5 separate regions of the Mus musculus genome follow, and regions 2, 3, 4 and 5 are each reported to be linked to region 1. The links are microRNA targets in miRTarBase. Many come from high-throughput screens and were not tested one by one. Region 1 holds a microRNA gene; each other region holds the end of a gene's coding sequence.
The links. The annotated mature microRNA mmu-miR-1896 reads CUCUCUGAUGGUGGGUGAGGAG and lies in region 1 at 3,368-3,389, opposite strand. An mRNA with a match to its seed (bases 2 to 7 or 8) in the 3' UTR can be bound and repressed. Matches are read on the target gene's strand: a 7mer-m8 pairs with bases 2 to 8, a 7mer-A1 pairs with bases 2 to 7 and ends in A, and an 8mer does both.

Region 2: the mRNA of Gpi1 is a reported target of mmu-miR-1896. Seed matches in the 3' UTR shown: 7mer-A1 at 4,729-4,735.
Region 3: miRTarBase lists Abcd4 as a target of mmu-miR-1896. Seed matches in the 3' UTR shown: 7mer-A1 at 1,835-1,841.
Region 4: the mRNA of Timm17b is a reported target of mmu-miR-1896. Seed matches in the 3' UTR shown: 7mer-A1 at 4,587-4,593 and 8mer at 4,119-4,126.
Region 5: miRTarBase lists Ubxn2a as a target of mmu-miR-1896. Seed matches in the 3' UTR shown: 7mer-A1 at 3,725-3,731, 7mer-A1 at 3,383-3,389, 7mer-A1 at 2,926-2,932 and 7mer-A1 at 2,481-2,487.

The regions. Positions count from the first base shown.
Region 1 is chr13:21,442,321-21,448,597 of GRCm38, reverse strand. Mir1896 (microRNA 1896) reads right to left here and starts at 3,438; the gene lies at 3,358-3,438. It overlaps Zscan26 (zinc finger and SCAN domain containing 26), which reads left to right. Exons shown (of 6, transcript NM_001347491.1): 4 at 114-431; 5 at 704-812; 6 at 2,769-6,277. The coding sequence ends at 3,667. 4930470G03Rik (RIKEN cDNA 4930470G03 gene) reads right to left here. Exons shown (of 4, transcript NR_151504.1): 3 at 4,405-4,527; 4 at 1,768-3,676.
Region 2 is chr7:34,197,181-34,203,457 of GRCm38, forward strand. Gpi1 (glucose-6-phosphate isomerase 1) reads right to left here. Exons shown (of 18, transcript NM_008155.4): 16 at 5,635-5,710; 17 at 5,457-5,523; 18 at 4,147-5,369. The coding sequence ends at 5,234. Among named protein-coding and RNA genes, the nearest start is that of Pdcd2l, 3.6 kb to the left of the region's middle.
Region 3 is chr12:84,598,244-84,604,520 of GRCm38, reverse strand. Abcd4 (ATP-binding cassette, sub-family D (ALD), member 4) reads left to right here. Exons shown (of 19, transcript NM_008992.2): 16 at 136-188; 17 at 496-572; 18 at 1,112-1,227; 19 at 1,362-1,990. The coding sequence ends at 1,430. Among named protein-coding and RNA genes, the nearest start is that of Abcd4, 16 kb to the left of the region's middle.
Region 4 is chrX:7,905,467-7,911,743 of GRCm38, reverse strand. It overlaps Timm17b (translocase of inner mitochondrial membrane 17b), which reads right to left. Exons shown (of 6, transcript NM_011591.5): 4 at 5,545-5,673; 5 at 5,353-5,463; 6 at 4,092-5,256. The coding sequence ends at 5,168. Among named protein-coding and RNA genes, the nearest start is that of Timm17b, 9.3 kb to the right of the region's middle.
Region 5 is chr12:4,875,983-4,882,259 of GRCm38, forward strand. It overlaps Ubxn2a (UBX domain protein 2A), which reads right to left. Exons shown (of 7, transcript NM_145441.4): 7 at 832-4,789. The coding sequence ends at 4,600. Among named protein-coding and RNA genes, the nearest start is that of Mfsd2b, 4.8 kb to the left of the region's middle.

The sequences.
Region 1 (6,277 bases):
GTGCAGAGTTGAGTAGAAATCTGACTTTAAAGTTTAAGGTAGCTAAGGAGACATAGTTGTAGATCCAAGTCTGTGCTTTAAGCCACTGTTAAAACTACTGTGCTTGGGAACAGGGATTCAAAGTTCAAGGGGACAGAAAAGGCGTTGGGCAGGAGCCATTGTGCAAACAGTTCAGGCAGCTGCGCTATGAGGAAAGCACTGGACCTCGAGAGGTTTTACGCCGGCTCAGGGAGCTCTGCAGACAGTGGCTGCGGCCTGAGACCCACAGCAAGGAGCAGATCCTGGAGCTGCTGGTACTGGAGCAGTTCCTGACCATCCTGCCAAGAGATCTGCAGGTCCAGGTGCTCGAGCACCACCCAGAGACTGGGGAGGAACTGGTGGGAATACTGGAAGATTTGCAGCTGGACCGTGGAAAAGCAGGAGAGCAGAAGGTAAGGGGTGCAGGTGCCCATTTGCAGGAAAGTAAGAAGTGAGCCCCCAGGTCACATAGGCGGACATGAGCACAGCAGCGGGCGGGGCACTGCTCACTGCTGGTCAGTGTGGGCCTCGCCTCACCCTTGCCATCCCCGGTGAGGCTGAAGTGTAAGGAGGCTCTCCGTTCTGCCTCTTCTTAGCCTCTTGAAAGGTTTCTTTGTTCTCTTTTCTGACATTGAAGTGGTTTTTTTTGTAAACCGGTTTCCTAATTATCTGTACTTATCTCTAGGACTCAGCCCAAAGAAGCAGACCAACGGTGCTGGTTGGCGAGCCAGCCCCTCGCAGGGAAGCACGGGAGCAGCCTGGGTGTGCGCTTCCTCAGAAGCCTGAGGAGAGAGGTAAGAACCAAATGGCATCTTTTTGCATTTGAATTATGGTAGGCCATGCAGTGCCTCTGCCTTGGCACTCGGCATTTTGGTATTTGTTTTTATTAGGCCTGTTGTGGCTTAATTTGTATACATAATCTAAACTGTAGCCTCTCTAGTCAGTGCAGGTTTTTGTTTTGTTGTTGTTGTTGTTTTGTTTGTTTTTGTATATACAATAAACTTAGTAACACAGTCAAGATTTAAAAGATCTACAACTCCAAACAATTTGAATGAACAACACACCAAGAAGTGGAGCTGAGCCTACCTGTTGCTCTTCCCTGAGGCAAAAAAGTCTCAGACAGAGTTTCCTTATTCCCTTTCCTAGCTCCTTCAAATCACTGTGAATGGCAGTGCTGAGGGTGGGGTGTTAATCAGTTTCTTTGGCTCTGCTTTGTTACTGTTCTATTTCTTACTTTTAGTCTCAGTCTCTCTCTCTCTCTCTCTCTCTCTCTCTCTCTCTCTCTCCCCTCCCTCCCCTCCCCACCCCCTTCTTTTTTTTTTTTTTTTTTTTTTTTTGACACAGGGTCTTCCTGTGCAGCTCTGATTGATCTCAACTACAACTATGTAGATCAGCTGGCCTTGAACTCTCTAATGTCTTTGATGCTTTCACTAAGTTATGTTGTAGTCTTCTCTGTCACTTAAATACGAATGTATAGATGTCTCTCCTTGCTTAGATCCCTTAGTGAACTGGGAAATGCTATTCTGTTTTTTCACATGAAGTACTGTGGCCACATTGGGAAGAGGAACCGAGAGATAGAGCTTTCGCTCTCCTCAGGCAATAGCGAATTGTGCTGCGCCTCCCACTCACCCGCACTCTGTTGGCCTGTTTGTTTCCATTTCCCCTTCCTGTTTCTCTCTTCTGGCTCCCTCCTGCCTCATTCATTCTATCCCCTGCTCCAGGCTCCCCATTCACTCACTGTCTGGGTCAGTGTCCTCGCCTGCTCGCTCACGGGAAGTTAGCTTCCAGTTTCTGGCTTCTTTCTCTCTTTCCATAGTTAAAGAGCCAAGTTTTGTTTTGTGCCCTGAATCTGCTATAGATCCCCTCTGAGGGGAACAAATCATATTTCAACATGATGTTTTTGTGAATGCATTATTCTCAAGGTCTTATGCTCCCGGTACTGTTGATTTATTGTTAAGAACGTAAACACTTTTTCCAAGATTACATACTACTCAGTGATAAAATTGGCACCATGTCAACTCATCTTCATTTGTCAAAGTACCTTCCCTGCTTAACTTGATGGTCCTCGGGTGACCTGATTTATGGTGCTTTTTTGTTTCCCAGGTGACAAATCATGATCAAGAATATGCAGTCATGCTTAGTAGCTTCTGTGTGTGTAACATATGTCACATAATAAAATATAGAACATTTAAAATAAATCACCTCCCACCACAACCCCTGCCCTTCCCCAAAGCCAATCTGGTTAACACTTTCCCAGATGTCAGGCTGGACGTGGTGGTGCTGTAACTGTGGGACCTGAGAGGAGAGGATTAGGTTAGGCCATGTTATTCTGCATAGTGAAAACTTACCTCAAAAAAAACAAACAAAACCACAGTTTCTTGTAAATCACTCTTTATATATATATAAAATAATCATGAGCAAAATTTTGTTGTTGTTTTTTTACTTTGTGAGGATTGAAGCGATCTCATCTCTTAAGAAAACTTTTACAGAGGATCTGGTTTCAGTTCCTGTCAACTACATTGCAGCTCACAACATTCTGTAACTCCAGTTTCCGGGAACTGGACAGCCTCTTACGGTTTCCTTGGCACTGCATGCATGTTGTGTACATGCATACATGCAAATAAAACACACATAACATGTTTTTACATTTATACACATGGCTTTATTTAAGTATTTCCTGCTATTTGCAGATTCCTTTCCCTGAACACCAAAAATAAAATAATTAGTGATATATATATTTACTATTTCAGGTAAAGAGACAAGGAGTGAGAATGGGAATCTCATTGCAGGGACAGACTCTTGTGGAAGAATGGAATCATCTTGTACCATGACTGAACCCATTGAGGCCCAGTGTGAGGACCTGAGCTTGAAAAAGAATCCAGCCATGCCCAAGGAAAAAACTAACAGCCAATGCTTGGAAACTAAGGAGAGACTTGTTCAGAACTCAGGCCTGATTGAACATGACAGGGCACATACAGGAGAAATGTCCTGGGAATCTGTAGGATCTCAGAGTTCTGTTGCTGCTGACCATCAGGAAATCTCTAAAGACAAAGGTCATCCCTGCCAAGAGTGTGGGAAAGTCTTTCAGAGAAGTTCACACCTCATCAGACATCAGAAAATCCATCTTGGGGAGAAGCCTTACCAGTGCAAAGAGTGTGGAAAAGTCTTTAGCCAGAATGCAGGTCTTTTGGAGCATCTCAGGATCCATACTGGAGAAAAACCCTATCTGTGTATCCATTGTGGAAAGAACTTCAGGCGAAGCTCTCATCTTAATCGACACCAAAAAATTCACAGTCAGGATGAGCCCCGAGAATGCAAGGAGTGTGGGAAAACCTTTAGTCGGGCCCTCCTCCTCACCCACCATCAGAGAGTCCATGGTCGTTCCAAAAGACATCACTGTAATGAGTGTGGGAAAGCCTTCAGCTTGACCTCCGACCTTATTCGACATCATAGGATTCACACTGGAGAAAAACCTTTCAAATGTAATGTGTGTCAGAAAGCTTTCCGCCTAAATTCACACTTAGATCAGCATGTTAGAATCCACAATGAAGAAAAACCCTACAAGTGCAGTGAATGCAATGAAGCCTTCAGGCAGAAGTCTGGTCTCTTTCAGCATCAGAGACATCACCATAAAAGCAAACTGGCTTGATGAGGTTCTCTGTTTGAAACATGGAAATGTTACATTGATAAGCAAACAGCGCCTTTTGAAAGAACTCACGACGGCTTCAGGATTCTTGGAAGCCATTTGCCTCCGTTGTGTCCCTCTCTTGGCTTTACTTAAAGTCATAATTAGACTATAATAATTTACCAGAATAGCAGAATCAGAGTTAAACAAATATTCACTACAGAGCTTCTCAGAGCTTTCAGTGTGATAAGTACTTGATTATGTATCTCTTAAGTATTAGCTTTATGTGTGAATGAAGTGTTTGAAATCAGTAAGTCAAGTGCCTATAGATTTATACAGGACAAGATCAAGCTGATATTTTTGTAAGTACTGTAGCAACAGGCTCCTAAAACATAAAATTAATGAGGGTTGGGGATATGCTCAGTGGTTTAACCAAGTTGCTATGCAAGTGGAAGGACTGTTTTGGATCCCCAGCACCCATGTAAAGTCAAATGAGTATGTGGCCAGCCTGTGGCCTGTGGTCCCACCCCTCAGGTGGCAAAAATGGGATCTTTCTAGCAAGCTGGCTAGCCAGACTAGCTGTATCAGCAAACTTTGGACTCAGGGGAGGGAGTTTGGAGAGCAGTCGGTGGAGTTCTTGAGGAAGACTCCTGATGATAATCTAAGTGCACATGTGTCCATACGTATGTAGAGCCATACCTGCAAACATCATACATGTGAAAAGACAAATCCTAAGGAGCTAGAGTTAGCAGTTAACATACCTGCTCTTGCAGAGGACCCATCCATTTTCAGTTCCTAGCACCTCCATAGCACAGCGTCTCACAGTTCCAGTTCTGGGGATCTGCTAGCCTTCTCAGGCTTCTGTACACAGTGGTCCACAGAAACTGGTGGACACACACACACAACTGGTAAAATATTTTTAAGCCCAAAATAAATCTAATAATGCTTAGAAATACACATCCTCAAGGGTCTAACGTAGGTTAACTGAACATTTTCCCTGTTAGGTTCACACAAACACTGGCTTCATATCCACTTTACCTTTGTACCATCAATGAATGCATTTCTGAAAGCTTTTGCTGTTTAACTATAGAACCTACCCTTAGGATTAGCTCATGTCATTTTACATTTCCTGCCCATTTTAACCACAGTATCACAGTGTTTCAAATTATAAATCAAAGTTTTACCTAAACTATGCAAGAGACTTTGAGTCATTTGAGTGAACTGTGTTGAAGTATTCTAAGCAGCGACCTCCTTACTGGGCAGCAACAGTGCCAGTACAGTGACTGCTTGAAGGACACCTTTTTTCATGAATGTCCCATGGGGGGAAATGGGGTTTTCCCCCTTTGATACCAATGATGCAAATTTAAATGCTACTTGTTTTGATATTATTTTGACCATGCAAATCAAATCAGCTCGGAGAGATCATGGCCATCAGGTCATATTGACTGTCTTGCTAGTGATGAAAAGTAATAAGCTTGGAGTCTTCCCAAGCCCAGCACCCGACTGCTAAACATGGCTTATGGTTGGTAATTGCACAGGGTGTACTTCTCAGGGAAAGGGCTTCTTAAGTTATGCCGCTTTGGGAAGAGAAGGGGACCCTTGTACTGACTACAACTTGGTTTCACTACACTTGACTTACAAATAAGCCAAGAACTTAGCAACATAGAAATGCTTATTTTTCTTGTCCGATAGAAAAGGATAGTCAGTCCAAAACAGATCCATGGTAAACCTAGTCAGCTTGCTGCCAGTCATGTCTAAGGAGGGGACAGGCCAAGGACTGCTAGGCACCTAGGTGCAATTCTGACATTAATCTTCTGTTTCATGCCCTTTTTTTTTTTTTTTTTTTTTTTTTTTTTGGTTTTTCGAGACAAGATTTCTCTGTGTAGTCCTGGCTGTCCTGGAACTCACTTTGTAGACCAGGCTGGCCTCGAACTCAGAAATCCGCCTGCCTCTGCCTCCCGAGTGCTGGGATTACAGGCGTGTGCCACCACTCCTGGCTCGTTTCATCCCCTTTTAACCAAACTTTGCTCTGCACAAAATAAGGCCCTCTTCCTTTGTTAAGATTTGACCTAAGATACACTCTAAGCAAAATTGGGGAGAGCTGCACAAAGGGACTGGCTGAACTGAGAAGAACCTCTCTTGGACCTTTTGCCCACACTTTGCATGTGATAGTTGCAACTTCAGCAGTCATATGGCCTTAAAAACTGATGGCATGGACCAAGGTTAGGTCCTCAACACCACCCAAAATAACAGTGTTAGCGTGTGATCAGTCTCCTTCATGTTTAACTCCGATCCACACCAAACGTGCATGTAACAGGCATTGTAACCCTTGTAATTCCTAAGCCTCAGAAGAAACACAGTCTTAGAACATGCTTTACATCTCTACTGTGGAACATCCTTTTATGCATCACTGTTTGTGTGAAAGTGATGTTCCTTTTCTGGCCTTTCTCTTAGCTTCTCCTTTTACTTCCAAACAGCATGGCCCTTAAAAATTAGAGAACTATCAAAATTTTAAATGCACATTATTCTTCGTCAGTTTGTGTGTGTAATATTTACTCAACAAATATATTTAAAGCAACATAAAAACATAATTATTGATAGTGTAAAGAGAATACTTTTCTATGGAAATAATGA
Region 2 (6,277 bases), not on the chromosome of region 1:
GTCCTCTGAAAGAGCTCTTAATTCCTGAGCCATCATTCCAGCCCCCCAAAGTCCTTAATTTTGACAGATACATTTAAAATACATATGAAGACTGAAGATTTGAGCATATGCCACAGCGGGGTTGTGTAACCTCTATGTGTTCGAGGCCAGCAGTCTACAAAACAAGTCCAGGACAACCAGGACTGTTACACAGAGAAACCCTGTATGGAAAAACAAAACAAAATAAAAATGTTGAGCATGTACATAGGTTACTCAACTGCTTACAACTCCAGTTTGCAGAGGGTAGGCAGGAGGGGAACCAATGCCAATTCTTTTTTCTGGAGTCTGTGGACAGCAGGAATACACATGGTGCACATTAAAGTAAATAATAAAAAGTTTAGCCGGGCAGTGGTGGCTCATGCCTTTAATCCCAGCACTTGGGAGGCAGAGGCAGGTGGATTTCTGAGTCCAAGGCCAGCCTGGTCTACAGAGTGAGTTTCAGGACAGCCAGGACTGCACAGAGAAACCCTGTCTCAAAAAACCAAAATAAGAAAAATTTTAGTGATGAGTTTTACTAAAATAAAAAAAATAAGCACATTTGAAAAGCATGTATTGCCAGGTAAGGGTGAACTCTGGTTATAGTTTGGACTAAATAGTGAAACTCAACCCAGCTCTGGCTTGAGAGTATCTCAAAAGCAAATAAACCCTGAAATTGGGACTGGATCAACCAACCTGATCAGTAACTTTCAGGCTACTGAGACACTGTCTTTATAAAAAAATAAATTAAAAAAAAAGGACTGACTGGACCAGAGGAATCACATGTGAGGTTATCCTGTGTCCTAAACACACACACACACACACACACACACACACACACACACACACACACACACACAGAGCCAGGGAGCAATCCAGCAAGCAGTTGCTCATTGGCTCTTTCTAGGACTTCCCTCAATAATAGATCATGACCGGAAATTATAAGCCAAAGTAACCCTTTCCTCCACAAGTGTTTAATCCCAGAAACAGAAAGCACATGTGAGTTTGACTACTTTGAGAAACCATAGCAGTGTGAGAATTTTAGAAATGGGCTAGAAAGATGGCTCAGTGGTTAAAAGCACTGACTGCTCTGCCAAAGGTCCCGAGTTCAAATCCCAGCAACCACATGGTGGCTTACAACCATCTGTAATGGAATCCGGTGCACTCTTCTAGTTTGTGTCATTTCCACAAAGGTAGCAGCCAGGATACAGGGAAAGAAGAGTCTGCAGCAAATCTCTCAAAGTCATGTCTTTCCCTCTCAAGGGAGACATTTTTCTCCAACTGAGCCCCACCTACTTTCCACCACTTACCAATAGTGCCACCTGCTGGACACAAGTCAAGCACTTGAAACTTGGAGAAACTTTACCCCACAAGTGTGTCCACATGATAGATTGAACCCAATCTTTGAGCATGCGCTACCACTGACCTATATCTGAGACCCTACTGTGACCTACCACCCTTTTCTTGAGACACGTTTCCACTGTATAGCTAGACAAGTCTGGAACTTGCTCACTCAGCCCAGGCTAATCTCAAGTAAGTACCATATACATCCCATTACTGAGTATGTGCCTGCCACAATACATGTGACATCAGCTCACCCCATCCACCTTTATATAGGTTTCATAGATGAAACTCAGGTGACTTGAGTGTAGTTTTTTTTTTTTTTTTTTTTCAATTTTTTATTAGGTATTTAGCTCATTTACATTTCCAATGCTATACCAAAAGTCCCCCTTACCCACCCACCCCCACTCCCCTACCCACCCACTCCCCCCCTTTGGCCCTGGCGTTCCCCTGTACCGGGGCACACAAAGTCTGCGTGTCCAATGGGTCTCTCTTTCCAGTGATGGCCGACTAGGCCATCTTTTGATACATATGCAGCTAGAGTCAAGAGCTCAGGGGTACTGGTTAGTTCATAATGTTGTTCCACCTATAGGGTTGAAGATCCCTTTAGCTCCTTGGGTACTTTCTCTAGCTCCTCCATTGGGAGCCCTGTGATCCATCCATTAGCTGACTGTGAGCATCCACTTCTGTGTTTGCTAGGCCCCGGCATAGTCTCACAAGAGACAGCTACATCTGGGTCCTTTCAGTAAAATCTTGCTAGTGTATGCAATGGTGTCAGCATTTGGAAGCTGATTATGGGGTGGATCCCTGGATATGGCAGTCTCTACATGGTCCATCCTTTCATCTCAGCTCCATACTTTGTTTCTGTAACTCCTTCCATGGGTGTTTTGTTCCCACTTCTAAGGAGGGGCATAGTGTCCACACTTCAGTCTTCATTTTTCTTGAGTTTCATGTGTTTAGGAAATTGTATCTTATATCGTGGGTATCCTAGGTTTTGGGCTAGTATCCACTTATCAGTGAGTACATATTGTGTGAGTTCCTTTGTGATTGTGTTACCTCACTCAGGATGATGCTCTCCAGGTCCATCCATTTGGCTAGGAATTTCATAAATTCATTCTTTTTAATAGCTGAGTAGTACTCCATTGTGTAGATGTACCACATTTTCTGTATCCATTCCTCTGTTGAGGGGCATCTGGGTTCTTTCCAGTTTCTGGCTATTATAAATAAGGCTGCTATGAACATAGTGGAGCATGTGTCCTTCTTACCAGTTGGGGCTTCTTCTGGATATATGCCCAGGAGAGGTATTGCTGGATCCTCCGGTAGTACTATGTCCAATTTTCTGAGGAACCGCCAGACTGATTTCCAGAGTGGTTGTACAAGCCTGCAATCCCACCAACAATGGAGGAGTGTTCCTCTTTCTCCACATCCTCGCCAGCATCTGCTGTCACCTGAATTTTTGATCTTAGCCATTCTCACTGGTGTGAGGTGGAATCTCAGGGTTGTTTTGATTTGCATTTCCCTGATGATTAAGGATGTTGAACATTTTTTCAGGTGCTTCTCTGCCATTCGGTATTCCTCAGGTGAGAATTCTTTGTTCAGTTCTGAGCCCCATTTTTTAAGGGGGTTATTTGATTTTCTGAGGTCCACCTTCTTGAGTTCTTTATATATGTTGGATATTAGTCCCCTATCTGATTTAGGATAGGTAAAGATCCTTTCCCAGTCTGTTGGTGGTCTTTTTGTCTTATAGACAGTGTCTTTTGCCTTGCAGAAACTTTGGAGTTTCATTAGGTCCCATTTGTCAATTCTCGATCTTACAGCACAAGCCATTGCTGTTCTGTTCAGGAATTTTTCCCCTGTGCCCATATCTTCAAGGCTTTTCCCCACTTTCTCCTCTATAAGTTTCAGTGTTTGAGTGTAGTTTTAAGTGCCTTTTAATCCGGGGACCCAGAAGGGCTACCAAACACCCCCCCCCACACACACACACACTATTGCTTCCCTTTTGCTTTAACCCCCTTTAGCTCCAGGACATGTCCTCCCCTGAGCTTCCCTTGAATCTTCAGATAAAGACACACAGCTTGTTACTTTACAACTTACCTTCTGGGCACAATTGCTGGGCACAGATATCTCCTGCCTGGAAAAGCATCCACTTAACCAATTATCACCATCTCTCCACCTGCCCTAAATTTAGTAACTAGTCCCACCGAGCCCCTATTAAACATCCTTGGCGGCTCCCCTGAGAGCTCACATGGTTGTTGTGTCCTTCTTCCTCTAAAACACAGCAGAAAGACACTTTCTCCTTCCCTGCATCTATCTGCCTTTTTTTCCTCCTGGGACCTGGGAAGTCCACCTATACCTTCTGTCCAGCAATTGGCCTCTAGCTTTCTTTACTGACAAATCAAGAACCAATTGGGGAACAGGACTTTAGCATCAGAACCACCCACTTCAGTGACCAAGTTTGTGTACAGTCTACAGGGTAGACTCCTGTTTGAGTGTTTGGCCCAAAGGGAGTGGCATTACTAGGAAGTGAAGCTATGCTGAAGGGTGTGCCACTGTGGGGGCAAGCTTTGAGGTCTAACTTGCTCAAGCTAGGCCTACCTTCCGCAGCCTTCGAATCAAGATGTTGAACTCTTGGCTTCTTTTCAAGCACCAGGTCTACCCACATGTGCCACCATGGTCTGCCATGACAATAATAGACTAAACCTCTGGACTGTAAGCCAGCCCCAATGAAATGTTGTCTTTTACAAGAGCTGCTATGGTCATGGTGTCTCTTCACAGCAATAAAACCCTAAGACATGTACCAAGTCTTTTTATTGACTGGCCATCAAATGGGCCTAATTAACATGGTGGAAAGTAGAATGACAGGGCTGTCACTCAGTCTCACAAGGACTCACTGATAGCCAGGATATGAATGTGACAGTAATGACACCCTGCTAAAACTGTCTTTTGAAGGGTATAATCGAGTTCATCCCTGGGTTCTTTTGTTTGTTTTTAAGACTTATTTATTTTATGTATGTGAGTACATTGTAGCTGTCCTCAGACACACCAGAAGAGGGCATCGGATCTCATTACAGGTGGTTGTGAGCCACCATGTGGTTGCTGGGAATTGAACTCAGGACCTCTGGAAGAGCAGTCAGTACTCTTAACTGTTGAGCCATCTCTCCAGCCCCATTCCTAGGTTTTGATACCAAAAATAAAGCGAAGGTAAACAAACAAACAAGCAAGCAAAAACCTACCTAGTGAAGCAGAATTACTTTTTCCACGTCACCAAGGTGAGGAGGGGAAGGAGGTGAACACGTGACTGGAGAGCAAGTTGCCCACCTAACTGCAGATCCCTGACCCCACCCTACCCAACCCCTTTTTTGTAGACAGGGTTTCTCTGTGTAGCCCTGGCTATCCGGGAACTCATTTTGTGGACCAGGCTGGCCTTGAATTCAGATAGACCTGCCTGTGCCTCCCAAGTGCCCCTATCACCCAGCTGTCCCCTCATAACGATCAATCCTCCGAGACTGTGGACCAGCCCACCACCAAGTAAAGAGCCAACCAAACAAGGCATAAGCAGGGTCACCCACAAGTAACAGATAAAAGTACTGACTCAGTAAACTGAAGAGGCTGAGCCCCCATGCCTCCTCTAGGTGTCTTTATTCTAGCTGGGGTGTGAAATACAGGTCAGAACAACATGACACGTCAAAGCCCTTCCATCAGCTTCAACAGGGAGGGTGCGTAGTGGGTGGATGGCAGTTCCAGACCAGCTTCTCCCAACAGCCTTGTAGTCCAGGCCAACTACCGGTGGTGCGCTCTGGGCAGGGAGGGGCAGGACCATGCAGTGCATATGGTGAGAAGGGACACGGAGGACCAGTCAGTAGGGCCGCGGCTGGAGTTATTCTAGTTTGGTGTCCCGCTGTTGCTTGATGAAGCTGATCAGTCCGTTAGTGGAGGAATCATGGGAGGTCACAGCAGAGCTGCCCTCCAGCTCCGGCTCAATTTTCTTGGCCAGCTGCTTCCCCAGCTCCACTCTGTCGGGGGAGGGTGGAAGAGGAGGATGAGCCAGCCACATTCCAGAGACAACCCAAAAGCACAACAGAGATTCCTCGGCAACTCACCCCCACTGGTCGAAGCTGTTGATGTCCCACATGATGCCCTGAACAAAGATCTTGTGCTCATACATGGCTGCAGAGGAAACAACAGACGGTGCCCGTTAGGGTCTCTCTCCTTCCTTCCTTCCCTTCCCCATCCAAGTGACCCCAAGCCAGCCAGCTCATCCTTCTTCTCCTCACTCACCAATCAAGGCCCCCAGAATGAAGGGTGTCAGCTTGGTAAACACAATAGAGTTGGTCGGGCGGTTTCCTTCAAAGACCTGCGGGAAACAAGAACTGTCCTCAGCGACGGGCAGAGGCTCCGGAGCACTTAGCCCTAAATGGGGTGTCTATATACATCCCTCCCCTCAAGGCTCTGGGGTCTCTGCAGAAGAGGAGCTGGAAAGATTCTAAGGGCAAAAGTGGTGGATGACTCCAAGGAGACATTGTCTTGAGGACCCAACAGGGCCAATGCACTTAGACCCTCACAGCCCAAATCCCACCACAGAGGAGGAAAAGCAGATACGAAGTCCCACCTCTAAGCTAGCTGCAAATAATAGCTGCCGGGAAACAATGACACTAGGTCTATGAACCATATTCCAGGACCAGAGTCACACCAAGGAAGAGCAGATCAACAGAAAACAGACTCCATGTTTTTATGATGTTGCTGTTATTCATTAACTTCTTATGCCTTTTGTTCTATCTATCTATCTATCTATCTATCTATCTATCTATCCATCCATCCATCCATCCATCCATCCATCCATCCATCCATCTATGGTTATTTATATATGCTTGATCTAGGGAGTGGCACTATTAGGAGGTGTGGCCTTGTTGGAGTAGGTAAG
Region 3 (6,277 bases), not on the chromosome of region 1:
CTCAATGGTGGAGGTGATAACACCCACCTTGGCTCACCACTGCCGTGTCTGTCACAGAAATGTTTGAGGTGGGGAGGTAGGATTGCAGAAAACACTGGACACTTGTGTGGACTCTGTGACCCCTGTCTGTTACAGTCCAGCTTGGTGGCAAGGACTGGAGGTCTGGACCAGCAGGTGGATTGGAACTGGTAAGGATGAGCGATTCCAGGCAGCGCCCCCCCCCCCCCCCCCGCCCCCATGGGTCCATTACAGAGTCCAGCAGCCCTGTAAAAGGACGCAATGGCTCCTGACCCCAGCTTCCTGGTGTTGGGCTGCCCCACCAGTTCAGGATCCGTATCTTGGGTAGAGTTGGGCCTCACCCGTCATGTGACTAAGAGGGAGGGCCTCTATCCTGGGGCCAATCTCTATAGCGAACTTGCTTCTTTCAAGATATATTCTTGGCAAAAGTCAAGCTGTCACCTCCTTTCAGGGCTCAATCATTATTGCTTTTTCTAGGTATGATGTCCTGTCCCCAGGGGAGATGCAAAGACTCTCCTTCGCCCGTCTCTTCTACCTGCAGCCCAAGTATGCAGGTGAGGTGCACACCATGGGCGCACATGCCAGGCGCTGTGTGTACTCATGAGTACTTGTAGCATGTGTTCACAGCCTGGACACATATGTGCACTTATACATGACTGGGTATCCCTCCCTGTGTCCTCTACCCGTGATGAGCAGAGCTTGGCCCCTTGGCATAGTCCTGAGAGTGTAAATGCACTTGTTAGGCAGCCTCAGTTAGAGGGCTTGTGATCGTAGCTCCCTGGGTTCTGCCACAGATGAGCGGGCATCCCCGAGCTGTGCCTGGCAGGAATATGTACATGCATATTGTAGCAGGTATGGACACTTCTGAGCACAGAGCCTCGGATGAATTGAGAGTCCTGGGTTGTACAGTCTTGGGGCACAGTGTTATTTGTCTGCAGGCAGCTGTGAGATCTGAGCCAGGCTCACAGGTGTGATCTCTATCTTGGCGTGACTCTCCTGTCAGTCCACCACATCCCAGGGTGAATGGGTTGGAGGAGTGACAGAGAGGGCAAGGGCAGTCTGTGATCTCTCGCCACCACATGCTGCTCGTCAGTGCTCGATGAAGCCACCAGTGCCCTGACAGAGGAAGCAGAGAGTGAGCTCTACCGAATTGGTCAGCAACTGGGGATGACATTTATCAGCGTGGGACATCGTCCCAGCCTTGAGAAGGTACCCAGGCCACAGGGGTGGCCTGCTGAGGAGAAAGAACCCAAAGGCTGGGCCTGGGGGTGTCAGGTAGCAGAGGGATTGGGGTGACTGCTCTGGCAGCTGTCTGACCTCAGTGGGGTCCTGGGCTCTTGCAGTTTCACTCCTGGGTTCTGAGACTCCACGGAGGAGGAAGCTGGGAGCTGACTAGAATCAAACTGGAATGAAGGCAAGCATGCAGGTTCATCTGAGCAGCGGAGCTCCGGGGCCTGCGGTGCCCACAGACAAGGAAGCCCGATGAGCCGGGAAGGAGCCACAGATTCACCTGAGGTCCTACACAGGAGCCCTAGCAGCCTCTAGCCCTGCCCACGGGTGGCGCTACAGGGAACACTGAGTCTCCCCAGCGCTGCTCCCATGACTTCTTACTTCAGATGACGTTTGCTGCTGAAAAACGGAATGAACTGTAAGACGTGAAGGGCCAGGGTGAGAAAACTATCGGACTCAAGAACTGGTGATGCCGGGCGGCGGCGCACGCCTTTAATCCCAGCACTTGGGAGGCAGAGGCAGGCGGATTTCTGAGTTCGAAGCCAGCCTGGTCTACAGAGTGAGTTCCAGGACAGCCAGGGCTATACAGAGAAACCCTGTCTCGAAAAAAAAAAAAAAAAGAAAGAAAAAGAAAACTGGTGACATTTCACAATGATAGCCTTTTAAAAAAAACTTTAATAACCATTTAAAATTTATAACTTTTTAAAAAAGAATAAATATTAAAAATATGGTTTTTCTTCTACAATAGACTGATTTTTTTATTTAAAGATTTTTATTTATTTATTATATGTAAGTACACTGTAGCTGTCTTCAGAAACTTTTTTTTTTCTTTTCTCTCTGGTCCTGCTTGCTCTGGCCCAAAGATTTATTTATTTATTATATTACACTGTACACTGTAGCTGTCTTCAGACACACCAGAAGAGGGCATCAGATCCCAGGACAGATGGTTGTGAGCCATCATGCGGGTGCTGGGAATTGAACTCAGGAGCAGGGACTGCTCTCTCTCCAGCCCCTAGAGTGATCTTTTTTATAGCATCTCTACACTTGTCCTCTAGGGTTTGAGGCACACTCGTGCCCTATACCTGCTGTGCTTTTCCACTCAATCTGTGTCCCTCCTGTCCACCCAATGGCCTGGAGACAGCGGGTGTGGCCAGTGCCAAGACCACCGTCTCTTGGGATCCTCTGTCTTTATCTTTTGTTCGTCTGTTTCATTACTGCGGATTGAACCTAGGGCCTTATGAACCCTACGCGGCTGTGATACCACTGATACACATCTTTATTATCTAATTCAAGAAAATTATCCCTTCCCCCCTTACTAGCTAAAATAAGGTTGGTAGATGTCTTCTTTTGTTTTCCCCACCCCCACCCCAAAATCTGTATTAGGAACAAGAAAAAAAAAAAAAACTAAGCCAAGTACATACCTGTTGCCCCAAAGGAATGGTGGCAAAGACAGATGAATCATGAGTGTGACACTCTTCTGGGTTGCATGGTAAGACCCCTATAAATTAAGTAGCAGATTCCCAAAAGCATAAGATAAAGTTACTAATGCCAAAGATGTTTTCTTTTGTGATATTTCTATAGTGTGTGTGTTGTCACACTGCTGCGGGGTGGGACGTTTTTGTTTTTATTTATTTATCTTATTTTTATTTTTTTGTTTTGTTTTTCAAGACAGGGTTTTTCTGTTTAGCCCTGGTTATCCTGGAACTTGATCTGTAGACCTGGCTAGCCCTGAACTCAGAGATCTGCCTGCCTCTGTCTCCCAAGCTGAAATTAAAGGCGTGTGCCACCACCACCACCACCTAGCCACTTTAAAAAAAAAAAAAAAGAAGACAGTCTCACTGTATACCCTTGGCTAGTCTGGAATTCACTATTTAGACTAGGTTTAGACTTGAACTTAGAGATCTGCCTGCCTCTCCCCTGAGTGCAGGTATTAAAGGCTTGTGCCACCATGCCCAACCTAGATGGGACCTTTAAAAAAGAAGAGAAAAGAAAAGAAAAGAAAAGAAAAGAAAAGAAAAGAAAAGAAAAGAAAAAGATGTGTGTGTGTGTGTACACGTACAGGCACTAGTGCACTCATGTAGTTGACTGACAACTTTCAGGAGTCCATTCTCTCCTTTCCCAACCGAGTCCCTAGGATTGAACTTAGATGGTCAGGCTTGGACAGCAGGCATCTTTACCCATTGATCCATCTCCCTGACCCAGAGGTGGGCAGACTCTTAGGGGTGATTAGGTCCAGAGTGCTCTGCCCTCATGAATAGGCTGAGCCAGTCCCAGCGTGGAGGAGCTAACTGTAAAGGTGGATGGTTCCATTCTCCCTCCCTTCCCCGCCCCCCTCTCCCTCCCTCCCTCCTTCTATCTCCTGGATTCCTACCTGGTCACTTGTTGCCTTCTGCACCATGACCCATCGAGGAGCCTCTCGACAGATACAGCATTTTAATCTTAGCGTGCCCAGTTTGCCAGTCCTGGGACAAAAAGCAATCTGGGCGTGGTGGCCTGTGCCAGATCTCTGAGTTCAGGGCTAGCCAGGTCTACAGGAGACTGGGGCTGACCCATCAGGAGTCTCACATACTTAACTAATTTGGAGCCAGCGTGGGTTATATGAGATCTGGTCTCCTGAACACAAAACTAAAATTATAACTAGAGAAATCAGCAGGGCTGGAGAGATAGCTCAGTAGTTAAGAGCACTGACTGCTCTTCCAGAGGTCCTGAGTTTAATTGCCAGCAACCACATGGTGGCTCACAACCATCTGTAATGGGATCCAATGTACTCTTCTAGTGTGTGTCTGAAGACAGCTACAGTGTACTCACATAAAATAAATAAATAAATCTTTAAAAAAAAAATCAGCAAAACTGAGAACATATTCTAGGGGAAGGAACTTGGTGTGTGTCGTCTCCCAGGGTCTTCTTGGACCTTTGCCGGGCCTGCGAGGTGGTGTCATGGGTGATGAGTCCACCACACTTGGGGAAGTTGAAGGTAAGAGTCTACATGTATTAAACCCACGTTTGGGTCCACTCTGACTTTCTTCCCGTCTTCAGGAAATACTGTTTTCATGGAAGACTGTTACCCCCCTGAGTGTAGGCATAGGAATCCCCAGATGAGGTAGGACTCTGGCCTGGCTCAGAAGTCTGTTCCCTGCCTTGTCTGTCTGTCTGTCTTTCTTTTTTTTTTTTTTTTTTTTTTTTGGTTTTTTGAGACAGGGTTTCTCTGTGTAGCCCTGGCTGTCCTAGAACTCACTCTGTAGACCAGGCTGGCCTCAAACTCAGAAATCTGCCTGCCTCTGCCTCCCAAGTGCTGGGATTAAAGGTGTGTGCCACCATGCCCGGCCCTTTCTTTCTTTTAAAGATTTACTTGTTTATTTTATGTATGCAAGTACAGTGATTCTCTCAGACACACCAGAAGGGAGCATCAGATCCCATTACAGATGGTTGTGAGCCACCATGTGGTTTCAGGGAATTGAACTCAGGACCTTTGGAAGAGCAGTCAGTGCTCTTACCCGCTGAGCCATCTCTCTAGCCCATGCCTTGTCTTTCTTGATACCCTGCACCCTACCTACCCCTTCCCAGAGTCTTTCTCCTTTGACACACATGGAAATCATGGGCAGACTTTTCGCTGAACCGGAGCAATTTATGGGAAGACATGGGATATAGGTAAAAGAGACCCTTGAAGAAGAATGTGGACCTTTGAACATACTCTGTCTGTTCAGCTCAGTACCTGTCTTAATGATCTAACTCCTATGTCAGAGGCCAGAAGAGGACATCAGGTCCCCTGGAGCTGGAGTTACAGGCAATTACGAACCGCCTGATATGTGCTAGGAACTGAACTAGGTCCTCTGGAAAAACAGCAAGCACTCTTGACGGCTGAGCCTTCCCTCCAGGCCACTAAGCTGATTCTCATGAACCACTTCTGCTTCTGAGCAGGTTCCAGCCCTGAATCTGAGCCCCAGCACAACACACAAACCTGCTGTGCTTCACCCCTAGGTTTGAGAATAAGCTTCCCGTTGCCTGAGTCCGCCACGGTCACTGTGCTCAAGCACCCCTTCCCAGGCTTCTAGAGGCACCAAACAAGAGTAGGAGGATGCTGCACCGTGGTGGCGCACACCTTTAATTCTAGCATGAGGGAGGCAGAGGCAGGTGGATCTCTGAGTTCAGGGCTCACAGAGAAACCCTGTCTCAAAGTACCAGAGAGAGAGAGAGAGAGAGAGAGAGGGAGAGGAGAGAGATTTATCTTTCTATTGCTGTGAAGAGACACCATAACCAAAGCAACTTATAAAAGAAAGCATTAATTGGAGGCTTGCTTACAGTTCCAGAAGGCAAGCTTCATGGCAAGAAGCATGGTAGTAGGCGGGCATGGAGCTGGGGCAATAGTGGAGAGTTTACATCTGATCCACAAGCAGGAGGCAGACAGACTGAGCCAGGCAGATAGACTGGGCCTGGCATGGGCTTTTGAAACCTTATTGCACACGTCCTAATCCAATATAGTTCAATCAGATAAGAGACCAAGCATCCAAATATATGAGCCTATGGGAGGGGGGCATTCTCATTCATGATACGACAGAAGGAAATGTCTACCTGATTGTACAATAGGACAGCCTGTATCCTTTGCAGCTGAACACAAGGCCACCTACCTGTCAATCCTGACTCTCTTCCTGCGGCAGAGACTCCCTGAGGTCTATGCACAGCCTAGCTCAGCCCACACTGGGAGCAGAGCAGTGAAGACTAATGGGAGGGATCCCAGGCACAGCGGAGAGGAGTACGGACGGGTGGGAGGGAGGCTGCCAACCAATGGGAACCGTTAGTGTCGGGAGGGACTGAGGAGTAGTGGGACTAATACAGTGAGCATCTTTGGTTCTGCTCAGCTGTGACCAGCGGATGCACTGCCACCCTGGATGAGGAACAGTATGAGGAGGGTCAGGGTAGTGAAGAGGACATCAGGGGGACCTACACACAAAAGAGGCCACTGGCTTTAGACCAGAGAATGCCAGGTGACTAACTTGGTAATCAGAGACTTAGAGGTTGGTTGGAGTCAGGG
Region 4 (6,277 bases), not on the chromosome of region 1:
CTGTTTTTCACTACATGGGTTCTGAGGCCTTGAACTTAAGTCTTCAGACTTGGTAGCAAGTCCCATTACTTGCTGCTCCATCTGGCCAGCCCCTTTACAGGCCTTCTTGTAAGATAGCAGATCTAGGCCACGCAGAGAGCCAGGGAGAACAAATGGGACGCGAGGGACGGAACCGAGACCAGAGGTTAAGGAAGGAAAGCCATGGAAGCTTCCGGAAGGAGTAAACTGAAAGAACGCCTCAGAAATCCTAGACAGAAGAGATGGCATAAAGGAGCTGGAGGAATTAGAGGTGAGGGGCTAGGGCATAGCTCGGTGGGGAAGTACTTGTCTGGTGTAAGGGTCTAGGTTTACTTAACTCTGGAGAGTCTATAGCTCTGACTGCTCTGAAACTGGCTATGGAGATCACTGGCCTCAGAGATCTGTCTACCTCTACCTAGTACATGCTGGAATAAAAGGTGTGTGCCACCATTTCTGGCCAGCACGTGATAGAGGCCTGATGCCCTGTGAGTCCAGCCCCTGAACCCAAAGGGCAAGCAAGTGCCTCTATGTCACTACCTGTGACCCCTCCACTATTTGCTGTTTCCCTTTAGTTGTATACATATACTGGTATTTTTCCACAGCTGTCACCAGCATTTCACAGGAGAAATCTGTGCAGCTGATCTGAGAGCTGGGGACATAGCTCAATTGGGAGAATGCTTACCTAACACACAGGAGGACCTGGGTTTGATTTTTGCACCATGTAAATAAGCAGAGCCTGATCATACAAACCTTGTTAATTCCAGCATTCAGGAAGCAGAGGACAGGCCTGAAAGTTCAAGGTCATTGTCTGCTATTTGTGTCTATGTGGGTGTGTGTTTCTGCATACACAACACACATGTAGACTTGAGAAGGCAGCTTGAGGCCAGCCTGGGTTAGGGACCTCTTAAAACTAAAAGAAAATTTGAAGGAACCAGAAAGATGCAGGTGAGTCATGTCTGCTGCAAAATAACTAGGCAGCTGCAGCTCGAGGAGGCCAGAGGCACTGAGTCCAGTCTCTGAACACAAAGGGCAAGCAAGCGCTTCCATGCCACCTGCTGTTCACTCCTCTCAACTTGCTCCTTCCCTTCAGTTGTGTACATCTAATGGAGTTCCACACAGCTGCCTCCCTGCATCTTCCATCCTGCTTGTCACATGGCCTTTCCCCCCAGCGGATATTAAGTGTACAAAAGAAAACCTCATAGGAATTACTGTGGACTTTGCAAACGTCCCCGGCTAACCCGTCTCTCCTCTTCCTCATCCTTATCTTCTTCCCTACCAGTCTGTCCCCTAATTATATGTTGTCTTTCTGTTCTGCAGTCTACACAAGAGAAAAACGATTAAATACCTGTCCTGGCTTGTTTTGCATAACAATATTTCAGTTCCATCAAATTTCCTACAAAGTAATTTCCTTTACAGATGACTATAATTCTAGTCGTATTCATGTGTGTGTGCGTGTATATTTTATCTTCTCTTCAGCTCATGGCCACCTAGGAAGATCACCAAAGCTGTGAATGACGGTGCAATAACTATGGATGTGTGAGCTCTCTCTGTGGTATGTTGGCTCCTTTAGGTGTATGCCCAGTAGTAGAGCTGGGTCATATGGTAGATTTGTTTTGAGTAACCTTTCTACTGATACATTCTCACCAGTACTGTAGGAGTCCCTCATCATTTGATGACAGCAATTTACACTTCAGAAAGACGGAATCCTGCTGTAATTTTGATTTGCTTTTCCCTGAGAGTGGAAGATATTCAACTTTGCCCCGCATTTTGTTTTCTTCAGACAGGATCTCATTATGTAGGCCTTGCAAAATGTATATATTATCCATGAGCTCACTGGTAGTGCAGCAGTCACAGTGACAAAACCAATCCAGTCTCTGGAAATTTTTGTGCCTCTATATGGCATATGACCCCCGGTAGAGACAATGCTTATCCCATCCATGGAAGGGTTTACACAGAATGTCAGAACCTGGGATCTTTCCCATACTTTCCCTCTCCTCAAATGAAAACTCATTTCTGAACATACTGTGGTCACCCTTAAAAAACAAATTGGAGCCAGGCGGTGGTGGCTCACGCCTTTAATCCCAGCACTTGGAAGGCAGAGGCAGGAGGATTTCTGAGTTCTAGGCCAGCCTGGTCTACAGAGTGAGTTCCAGGACAGCCAGGACTACACAGAGAAACCCTGTCTCAAAAACAAACAACCAAACCAAACCAAACCAAACCCTCTCCAAAACAACTGGGTTGCCAGTGGCTCGGTTGGTAAGGGCACTTGCCATTGAACCTTACTACCTGAATCTGATCCTGGAAACCAACAGAGCAGGAGGAGGGCTAACCCTGCACATGTTCATTGTGACATGTCTACCCGCACTCCCAATAAATGAGTCTATTTAAAAAGTCTGGGTGGAGCCGGGCATGGTGGCACATGCCTTTAATCCCAGCACTTGGGAGGCAGAGGCAGGTGGATCTCTGAGTTCGAGGCCAGCCTGGTCTACAAAGTGAGTTCTAGGACAGCCAGGGCTATACAGAGAAACCCTGTCTTGAAAAACCAAAAAAGGGCTGGAGAGATGGCTCAGTGGTTAAGAGCCCTTGCTGCTCTTCCAGAGGACCTGGGTTCAATTCCCAGCATCCACATGGTGGCTCACAACTGTCTGTAACTGCTGTTCCATAGATGAATGCAGGGAAAACACAAGTGCCCATAAAATAAAGATAGATAAGTCCTTTTTAAAAAAAAAAAAGAAAAAAAAAAAAAAGAAAAAAAGGTCTGGGCGGGGCAGTGGTGATGCATGGCACTCCGGAGGCTGAGAGAGGTGGCCAAGTGGATCTCTTGAGTTCAAGCTCAGGCAATAGAGCAAGTTCCAGGATGGTCAGAGCTACACAGAGAAACCAAGTCTCCAAAAACAAAACAAATCTTCAATTCTGGCACTTGGGAGACAAAAGGATGAGGATTTTGAAGTCAGTCTAGACAATAATACTGAGACCTTATTTTTATTTTGTTTTTGTTTTTTTTTTTTTGTTTTAAAGATTTATTATTATATGTAAGTACACTGTAGCTGTCTTTAGACACACCAGAGGAGTGCGTCAGATCTCATTATGGGTGGTTGTGAGCCACCATGTGGTCGCTGGGATTTGAACTCAGGACCTTTGGAAGAGCAGTCAGTGTTCTTACCCGCTGAGCCATCTCTCCAGCCCGAGACCTTATTTTTAAAAACAAACAAACAAATAAAAAGAAAACCACTGGTTCCCCATAGCAGTTAGGAATCTAAGGCAGGAAGATCAGTTCACAGGACAAGCCACTGTTATATAGCAAGTTGGAGGCCAGCCTGGGCTACTTGATACAAGTGAGACCCTGTCTTGAAAGACAAACAGCAAGCAAGGTGTGGAAGCATACCCCTTTAATCCCAGCACTTATCCACAGCCCATTCGCACCGCAACAGTCACAGTGGAAATTTCTATGCCTCTATATGCAACTGGACCCCAAGAGACAAGAGTTATCCCATCCACTTAAGGGTTTACACATGTCAGAACCTGGGAGCAGTCCATCTGGATAACAGAGAAGGCAGGCAGACCTCTGAGTTCGAGGCCACCCTGGCCTACAGAGTGAATTCCAGGACAGGCAGGGCTAAAAAGTGAGAGCCTGTCTCAAGAAAGAAACAGCAGAAGATAAAATGAAGTGGATAGGGATGAAGAGAAGATCTGAGTGGAGGTAGAGAAGGGAAAGATACTATCAAAATATATATGAAAATATGAAATAAAAATAATTTAAAATGTAATTAGTGACAGTAACAAAAAACAGCAAATGTAAAAAGATCTAGACATCAGCAAAGGAGAAAGTGACAGGGACGGAGTCTTCTTTTGACGCCTGGGCCTCCACCCCAGAGCTGTAATACGGCCACATGGACTTTTGTTTTCGAGACAGGGTTTCTCTGTGTAGCCCTGGCTGTCCTGGAACTCACTTTGTAGACCAGGCTGGCCTCGAACTCAGAAATCTGCCTGCCTCTGCCTCCCAAGTGCTGGGATTAAAGGCGTGCACCAGCACTGCCCAGCTTTTGCTCTTTCTTCTTTTTTTTTTTCTTTTTGGTTTGCTTTTGTTTTTCAAGACAGGGTTCTCTGAGTAACAGCCGTGGCTGTCCTGGGATAAGCTCTGTAGACTAGGCTGTCCTTCAGCTCACAGAGATCTGTGTGTCTCCGCTTCGGCCTCTGTGCTGCTCTGGGCTGGATTAAAGTGTGCACTACCACGCCCAGGGCAAAGGCTTTTCTCACGCGCCTGGTTTCCCATGCTCTCCACGGGGAGCCTGTACCAGGAGGGTCTGCAGTATGTTTGCACAGCATACACATGCTCCCAGCAATCCTTGTCCTTCTTTCCTGCGTGCACGAAGCATGTCTAGGCACCTAACCACGTTTATGCATGTGTCTAATTCATCTTTTTGACTATTCCCTCCCTTGCTCATTCATTTTGTAAACCTTTACTAGAGGTTGGGTGTGGTAGTATCATACAAGTTCAAGTTCAGTTTAGACAACACAGTGACACCCTGCTTCTTCTTTTTTTTTGTTTTTTGTTTTTGAGACAGGGTTTCTCTGTGTAGCCCTGGCTGTCCTGGAGCTCACTCTGTAGACCAGGCTGGCCTTGAACTCAGAAATCTGCCTGTCTCTGCCTCCCAAGTGCTGGGATTACAGGTGTGTGCCACCATGCCCAGCTGAGACCCTGCTTCTTTCTCCCACTTCCCAATACAAAAAACAAAACAAAACAAAAACCATCAAAACCCTTCAAACCCATTCACCATGAAATCTCAAGCCCTAGACTTTCCAAGCCCCTTCTGAGGAGAGAGAGGGCCATCTGGGTGACTGAAGGCAGACATACACAGACATTTCAAAACTGGCTTTAAACATTCATCAGGGTGCCACACGAGGGCTCTGGGGGTGAGAGAATTGTTACACGTATGAAGCTGGGATGCCCTAAGACACAAAAAGGGAACCCATATGACAAGGCTGCTGGGGTGTCCCCACCCCTACCACAAAACCAGAGAGTAGAATTGAGGCCCTCTGTGAAGGCCTCTCAGGGCTATGTAGGAGCCAGTCCTCCCTTGGAGGTAGATCATCCGGGAGGGAACTGAGGAGTGGCTCCCACGGTGGCGGGGGTCAGGCAGCGGCTTCCTCAGTGGTACTGCTGGTAGTTGGGATAACCTGGGGCCGGAGATCCCTCTTTCGGGGTTAGCTGGCTGGGGTCCTCCAAGAATGGGGGTGCTGGAGAAGGGAGAATGAGGTAATGAGGCGAGGAAGCATGGAGAGGGTTGACAGTGCTTCCTGACTCTCCCTGCCCACCGCCCACCAAGTTCTCACCATTTCGGAACTGCTGGGCAGTATAGCGGGTGAGAAGGATGCCAACACCCTCAATGAGGGCCAACAGGATGCCTCCCATCATCGCAGAGCCCACCATGGCCAGCGGACCACCTGGGAGGCGGAAAGACACACAGCTGAGGAAGGGCAGGCAGGACAGGGCAAGGACTGGGGTGAGAGGCTGGCGGCACTCACTGCGCGCAGCCAGCACAGCTCCAGTCAACGCTCCACTGCTGATGGAATTCCAGGGGTCTTCTTTGCCCCGTAGCCGGACCAGGCCACAGTCGATGGTGGAGAACAGACCTCCCCACACTGCAAAGCTTCCTGTAGGGGAAATAAGAGTCTGAATCACACAATCTGAGACTCCACGTAGCTCAACATCTGGAAACTTCCAAGGCCTGAAGACTGGCCAAGAAAGAGTGCTGGGACCGGAGATGTGGCTCTGTGGTAGATGCTTGCATAGGGTGATCCCCTCCCCCCACTAAACAAATAAATATGACCAGGATATAGTATGATGCCAGCACCTGGGAAGCTCAGGTAGGAGGACCGCAAAGGCTTAGACACCTATACAGTGGAGGCTGTCTCAAAAACAGGAGGCCATGGGGCACAACCTTAGCACCAAATACAAGAAGGAAGAAAGTCCAGCTATAGAACTAGGTATAGTCCATCTTTCTCACTGTGAAAGGTTCCACATCTGATTGGGGCTGTAGTTATTATCATCAAAATCCTTTCACTTTTTTTTTTCTCTCTCTCTCTTTTTTTTTTTTTTTTTTTGGTTTTTTGAGACAGGGTTTCTCTGTATAGCCCTGGCTGTCCTGGAACTCACTCTGTAGACCAGGCTGGCCTCGAACTCAGAAATCCGCCTGCCTCTGCTTCCTGAGTGCTGGGATTAAAGGCATCCGCCACCACACCACCACCCAGCAATCCT
Region 5 (6,277 bases), not on the chromosome of region 1:
TGTATGGTGTACGTGGAGATTCCTGAACCCCAACAGTGCCCACACTGAATACATCTCCCTTCTTGCCTTTCACTATTCATTTGACTCTTTGAATTGGTGCGTGGAGGGTGGATGACTCAAACCCGGTTTGCTGGGAAACAGGCTGTGACCATAAGTCTGGCAACAAGAGGTTAATGCACATATTAGTTAGACAACTGTTCCTTAGGACACAGCACAACTGCACTGCAGTGAAATGAAAAACTCTGTGCTGCAAATAATTACAACATATGTATATAAGGTAAACATGTCCTCCCAAGTGTAGAACAAATTATAAAGCACTTGTATTGGGATATACAAATAACCAAAAAAAAATCTCATTTTAAAGACATATAGATGAACCATAAGCACATAATAAGGACATGATCGATCGTATTGGGTGTAGCAGTGCTGCCTTTCTTAGAGGCAGGGCTTCTCAGCGTAGCCCTGGCTGTCCTGGAGCTCCGTCTGTAGACCAGGCTGCCCTTCAACTACAGAGAACCATTACCTCCAAGCTCCGGGATTAAAGGCATACATACACTGCTACTGCCCAGCCAGATGGAGTTTCTTTTCAAGGAGATGCAAATTTTCAAACTCTATCATGGTGGGATAATATAGCTGAGTACATTAAAAAAAAACACTGATTCTACTTTTTTTTTTTTTTTTTTGGTGCCTGGCAGTAGAGCTATCTAGATCCCAAGTCAATTCATACTGAGGTTATCTTTAGGATATCTGTATGATATAATTTTCTATAATGAGTATGGATTGTCTGTGCCAAAACAATTTAAAACTAAGTAAGCCACGTCTTACTGAGGATCCAGTGTGATGAGCATCTTTTTACTGAAGTGGCAGAAATGTACAAGGGAGTGAACACTGTAAACAAGCCTCCATGCTAGGGCAAAGAATAAATAACAACCATTGGACAGCCACTAAAGTATCACTTCTTCACATTTCTGAGTATGAAATGAAAACAACATTGGCTAATGAAAAGACATCTAATAATCACTAGACCAGACAATCACTGATTCTCAAACTGTAGGACTCGGCCAAATAAAACACGACGAAAGCATTCCCAGTAGCCATCGTATAACAAGTGTGAATCACTAAACAGATCCTTTCAGTGAGCAGCATTTTATCTTCAAGAGACAGTTCATTTTACCATTAGCCAAATACATCAAAAATATATTAAGGCACTAAAATAAATACATACTACTACATTGTCAATGAATGGAAACATCATGAGGTTTGCTGAATGAGTCGTGATGAAGTACGGCTATTTTAGCTGTGATAGTGATAGTAATCTAACTCGTAAATTATGATGTGTGCAATCAGATATGTATTTCAATGTCTATCTCATCTGCAAAACAAGACAACGGACTATGACAATTCTGGAGCAATGACTTGGGTCAACCTGTATTCTACTCCTGAGATGTTCACTTACTTTAAATTTTGCTTCCCTTGGCAATTTATCCTTTCAAAATCAACCTGTAATAAGGAGTCTATATGCTAGCAACTTTATAACTTTTGAATTTTCAAGTAAAAAGATTTATCAGGTGATTATCTTTAAGGAAATCTTTGCAAACATTATTTACATTAACATTTTCACAGTTTTAAAAAATGCAACTTATTGCTGATGATTGTTCTTCCTAGTGGAACATTTCCCTGGCAAGTACTCTACACGGACACACAAGAACCCCCACTTTACCTTCCTAGTGGAACATTTCCCTGGCAAGTACTCTACACGGACACACAAGAACCCCCACTTTACCTTCCTAGTGGAACATTTCCCTGGCAAGTACTCTACATGGACACACAAGAACCCCCACTTTACCTTCTGGTTAGAGACTGGAGGCCTTATTTGTAGATACACAAGAAACATTCTTGTGAGAGGTTCCTCATAAAAATATGGAGAACCATTTGTCAATTATAACTATGTAAATAGAAAGGTTTCAGGATAGGCCTATATGAAACATTTCCATAGAGATTCCTGAACATATTAACAATCAAAAGTTTTTGCCTATATCTGAAAAATAAAACCATTGATTTTACTATCCCCTTTCTTGTTAATGAATTGTTTATATTGCTAAAAGGGACTCTGATAGTGTTGTGTAAATGTTATTGACAAATATTTAATTTTTCTATTATATACATGCTGATTTCATAGGTAAAGGGCAAAATAAAATGCTCTCTTTCATTCTCTATTACACAAAGCCCACCCAAAATACAGAAGTCTGGCATGGAAGCCTGGGAAGAAAGCATCTTTAAAACAGGATTGCACAAGGAAGGGCTGAAAGAAAGGACATCTAGTTATACACGCACACAGGCTCCCTCTTGTTCTTCCTGAGTCTTCCTTAAAGCCTCATTCACACTTTCCATCCTCCTGGGCGGATGGGAGGCAAGGCAGAGCCTGAGGAAACTGGGCAAGGGGATAAAGCTCAACCGCGGAAACCACTTGGGTGGAGCCATTCTCTGTCCTTGGTGAAGCATATGGGGCCGACTCGGGCGAGGGTAGAATTCCTGCATTTACACCAAATACCTACGAGTCACTCAAGGTTCCAAGTGCAGCTGTCACCCATCTCAGACAGTGACGCACAATGCTTGTGACAGGGGCAGGAAACAGACTCTCATTCTGTAGCCCAAGCTGGCCCTGACTTCACAGTAATCCTCCTGCCTCAGCCTCTCAAGGGCTTGTGATCAGTGTGAATTCCCATGTTTGGCCAGGACTCCCAAATGACCCCTTGTCAAACTGTCTTTTCTAATCATATAGTTAAATGTTTCTTTTTCATTCCCACAAATGGAGTGTTGTCTTCTAGAGACTATAAGCTAGGTGACACTGCATCACAGTGAATGTGAAACAGGTAAGAATCTTTTGTGGGTTTTTTGTTTTGTTTTTTTTTTTCGAGACAGGGTTTCTCTGTATAGCCCTGGCTGTCCTGGAACTCACTCTGTAGACCAGGCTGTCCTTGAACTCAGAAATCCGCCTGCCTCTGCCTCCAGAGCGCTGGGATTAAAGGCATGTACAACCACACCCAGCCAGGTGAGAATCTTTATCTTCATTGTTAGACATTACATTTTTGGAGAAAAGGAAATACAACACCACCTTTCTCTATAAATCTTTCCACTCGTTGAAAATTATTAGTTTAATATGCATGATATTTTGTCTGCGTGTATGTCTACGTATAACTTGAGTGCAGTGACCACAGAGGCCAGAAGAGGGAGTTGGATATCTTGTAGCAGAAGTTTCATATGGCTGTGCACTGCCATGTGTATGCTGGAAATTGAACCTGGATCTACAGCCAGGGCAGCCAGTGTTTTTTTGTTTGTTTGTTTGTTTGTTTTGCTTTTTGTTTGTTTTTCGAGAGAGGGTTTCTCTGTGTAGCCCTGGCTGTCCTGGAACTCACTTTGTAGACTGGCCTCACAAATCCACCTGCCTCTGCCTCCCGAGTGCTGGGATTAAAGGCGTGCGCCACCACCGCCTGGCGCAGCCAGTGTTCTTAACAGCTGAGCCATCTATGTCTCCGGGTGGGAAGGTTGTTACTATCAAGAGACAGGGTTTTGCTATGTCTCTTATGCTGACCAAACTCCTGGGCTCCTCTCCTCTCAGCTTGGTGTGAGCTAGAGCTAGGGCATACACCTGTGGGCAGTTTCAAAGTTCCTTTTAAATGAGTAAAGATTTGAAAACTTTTCTATAGTTTTTTCTAGACAGGGTTTCTCTGTGTAACCCTGGAAGTTAGTTAGCTCTGTAGGACAGGCTGTCCTTGAACTCAGAGATCCTCCTGCCTCTGCCTCCAAAGTGCTAGGATTAAACTAAAGGCCTGCTTTGCCACTACCACCACCCAGCTTTGAAGAATTTTTTTTGTGTGTGCTTTTACATTACAAATTGAAAGGATTTTTTTGTAGTGCTGGGATGGATTTAAACTAGTCTCATGTATGTATGGCAAATAATCCCTACCACTGAACTACATTCCCAGTCCATAAAATTACATGTAGAAGGTATAGAAAACTGTGTATATAGATTAGTATTGATATTATACTAAGCTACACAATTTTATTCCGAGAAGAGTCTACATCTTGGATACTGTTGCCAAATGAGTATTTGAGTATCTTTTGCCATCACAAGTAGAAACTGAAAAGCTCCGAGGATGAAGCACGGGCAATAACTACATTGATGCTTTTAATATGGCATGGATAATATTTTGATGTATTGCTATTTAAAAACTGAGATAGCTAACATTTATATAAATATCTGCTGTTTGGAGATAATATTTGAATGCTGATGCTGATTTAGCTAATTGAATACTCTGCTAATTTAGACCACATTAAGATTAATGACACAGCTATTTAATGTCATATTGGCTAACTAATATTTGAAAAATAGGTATTTTTTTCTGAATAGCCTGTTGAGAAAAATGCACTGACCCTGGCTTAGAGCCATGTCACTCTCCTAGCTTGTGACGACTGAACCCCCTCATAAGGGATTGAGAAGCCCTCAAACCGCAAGTTTAGTCACATTGACTTCTGTCTCCCACTCTGCATGTCTACTTGCAACCATCATTTTTCTCAGTCTCTCAAAAATAAAAACTATCAAAGTTTTCTAAAAGGCTCGGCAGTTTTTTGGAGTCTCTGAATGATTACAGCATTCTTCAAATCTGCTTCTTCCAATGTGAGCGTTTCATCCAGAAACCTGAGGAAAGGAAGAGCTGTTGCCAGGGCAAAGGGAGGGCTTCTCTGAGATCCTTGGTATTTTTCAATGAAGTCTTTGATGTGGCTCACCCTGCAAAATAGCACAAACTATTAATTTATAAAAATCCAAACTAATTTAAGGTGGCATCAACTTGAATAGTTATTTTGATTTGTTAAAATAGAGACTAGAGTGGCACATACCTTTAATCCCAGCACTCAGGAGGCAGAGGCAGGCAGATTTCTGAGTTCAAGGCCAGCCTGGTCTACAAAGTGAGTTCCAGGACAGCCAGGGCTACACAGAGAAACCCTGTCTTGAAAAACCAAAAGAAAAAAGAAAAAAAATAGAGACTAGAGAAAGTTGTTTTTATGATACAAATAGTTATTTGTTGTTGTTGTTGTTTTAGAAGGAGTGCTGGCATTACAGGCCAGTGCTGAGTTTACAGCTAGGTGACACCATACCCAGTTTATGTGGTGCTGGGGATCAAACCCAGGGCTTCACACACTGAGAAGGGCAGGTACTTAACATCTGTGCTCCACAGCTGCATCCCAAGTTCACTATCCTTTGTGAAGGAACCCAGAGGATCATGTATGCTGGCCAGGAACTCCTACTACTCAGAGTCCAAGTTCTAGGTTTTAAATTTGATGCACGTGTATGTGTGCACTCTACCAACTTAGCCCATAATCACTGCAATACTGAGTGTGGGGGCTAGAGAGATGGCTCAGCGACTAAAAGCGCTGCTTGCTCTTCCGAGTTTTGAGTTCAAATCCCAGCAACCACACAGTGGCTCACAGCCATCTATACAAGTATAATATATAAGCCACGTATACTTATATGCACAAAATAAATAAATAAATCTTTTTTTTAAAAAAGTCCACACACAGGGCACTTAAAACATTATAAAAAAAAGTCTGAATGTTCAAAATTATGTGTTCATCTTTTTATGTTTAAGGAGATTGCACATACCATCGATCAAAACTAAGATACCATTTTATAGAACATCAGTATTTTATTACTAGCTAAAATACTTGCTAGTCTATTATTCTGCCTGTGTGTGGATGGGTGGCCCTCTCCATCCACCTTTACTGAGGAATCCAGCTCAGTCGTCCAGGCTTGTGCCGCAGGTGCTTTTTACCTCTGTGCTGCCATCTTGCTGGCCCTACAAATATTCTAAAATAAAATGATGCCACAGTATTTTCCTTTCTTCTTCTTTCCCCCTTTCCTTTCCTTTTGCAGCGATGAGGATCAAACCCAGGACCTTGTGCAAGTTAGGTTAAGTGTTCTACCACTGAGCTACACCCCCAGGGCCTTGTGCATGTTAGGTAAATTCTACCACCAAGCTACACCCCAAGCCATCAAGAATATTTTCTTAACATTTGGAATTTCTGCTTTGTGTTTATTGAAACGGAGTCCTTTCAGACGTAATTTTGCAAGCATTTATCAAATCATGTTAAGTACTTCCACAAGGAAGTAACGTAAACACACCAAGTATGCTAAGATTTGAACACACTGAGACTTTTGTCTTTATTGAGACAGGGTCTCAACTGTTCAGCCTTGGCTGGCCTAGATCTCACTATGTTG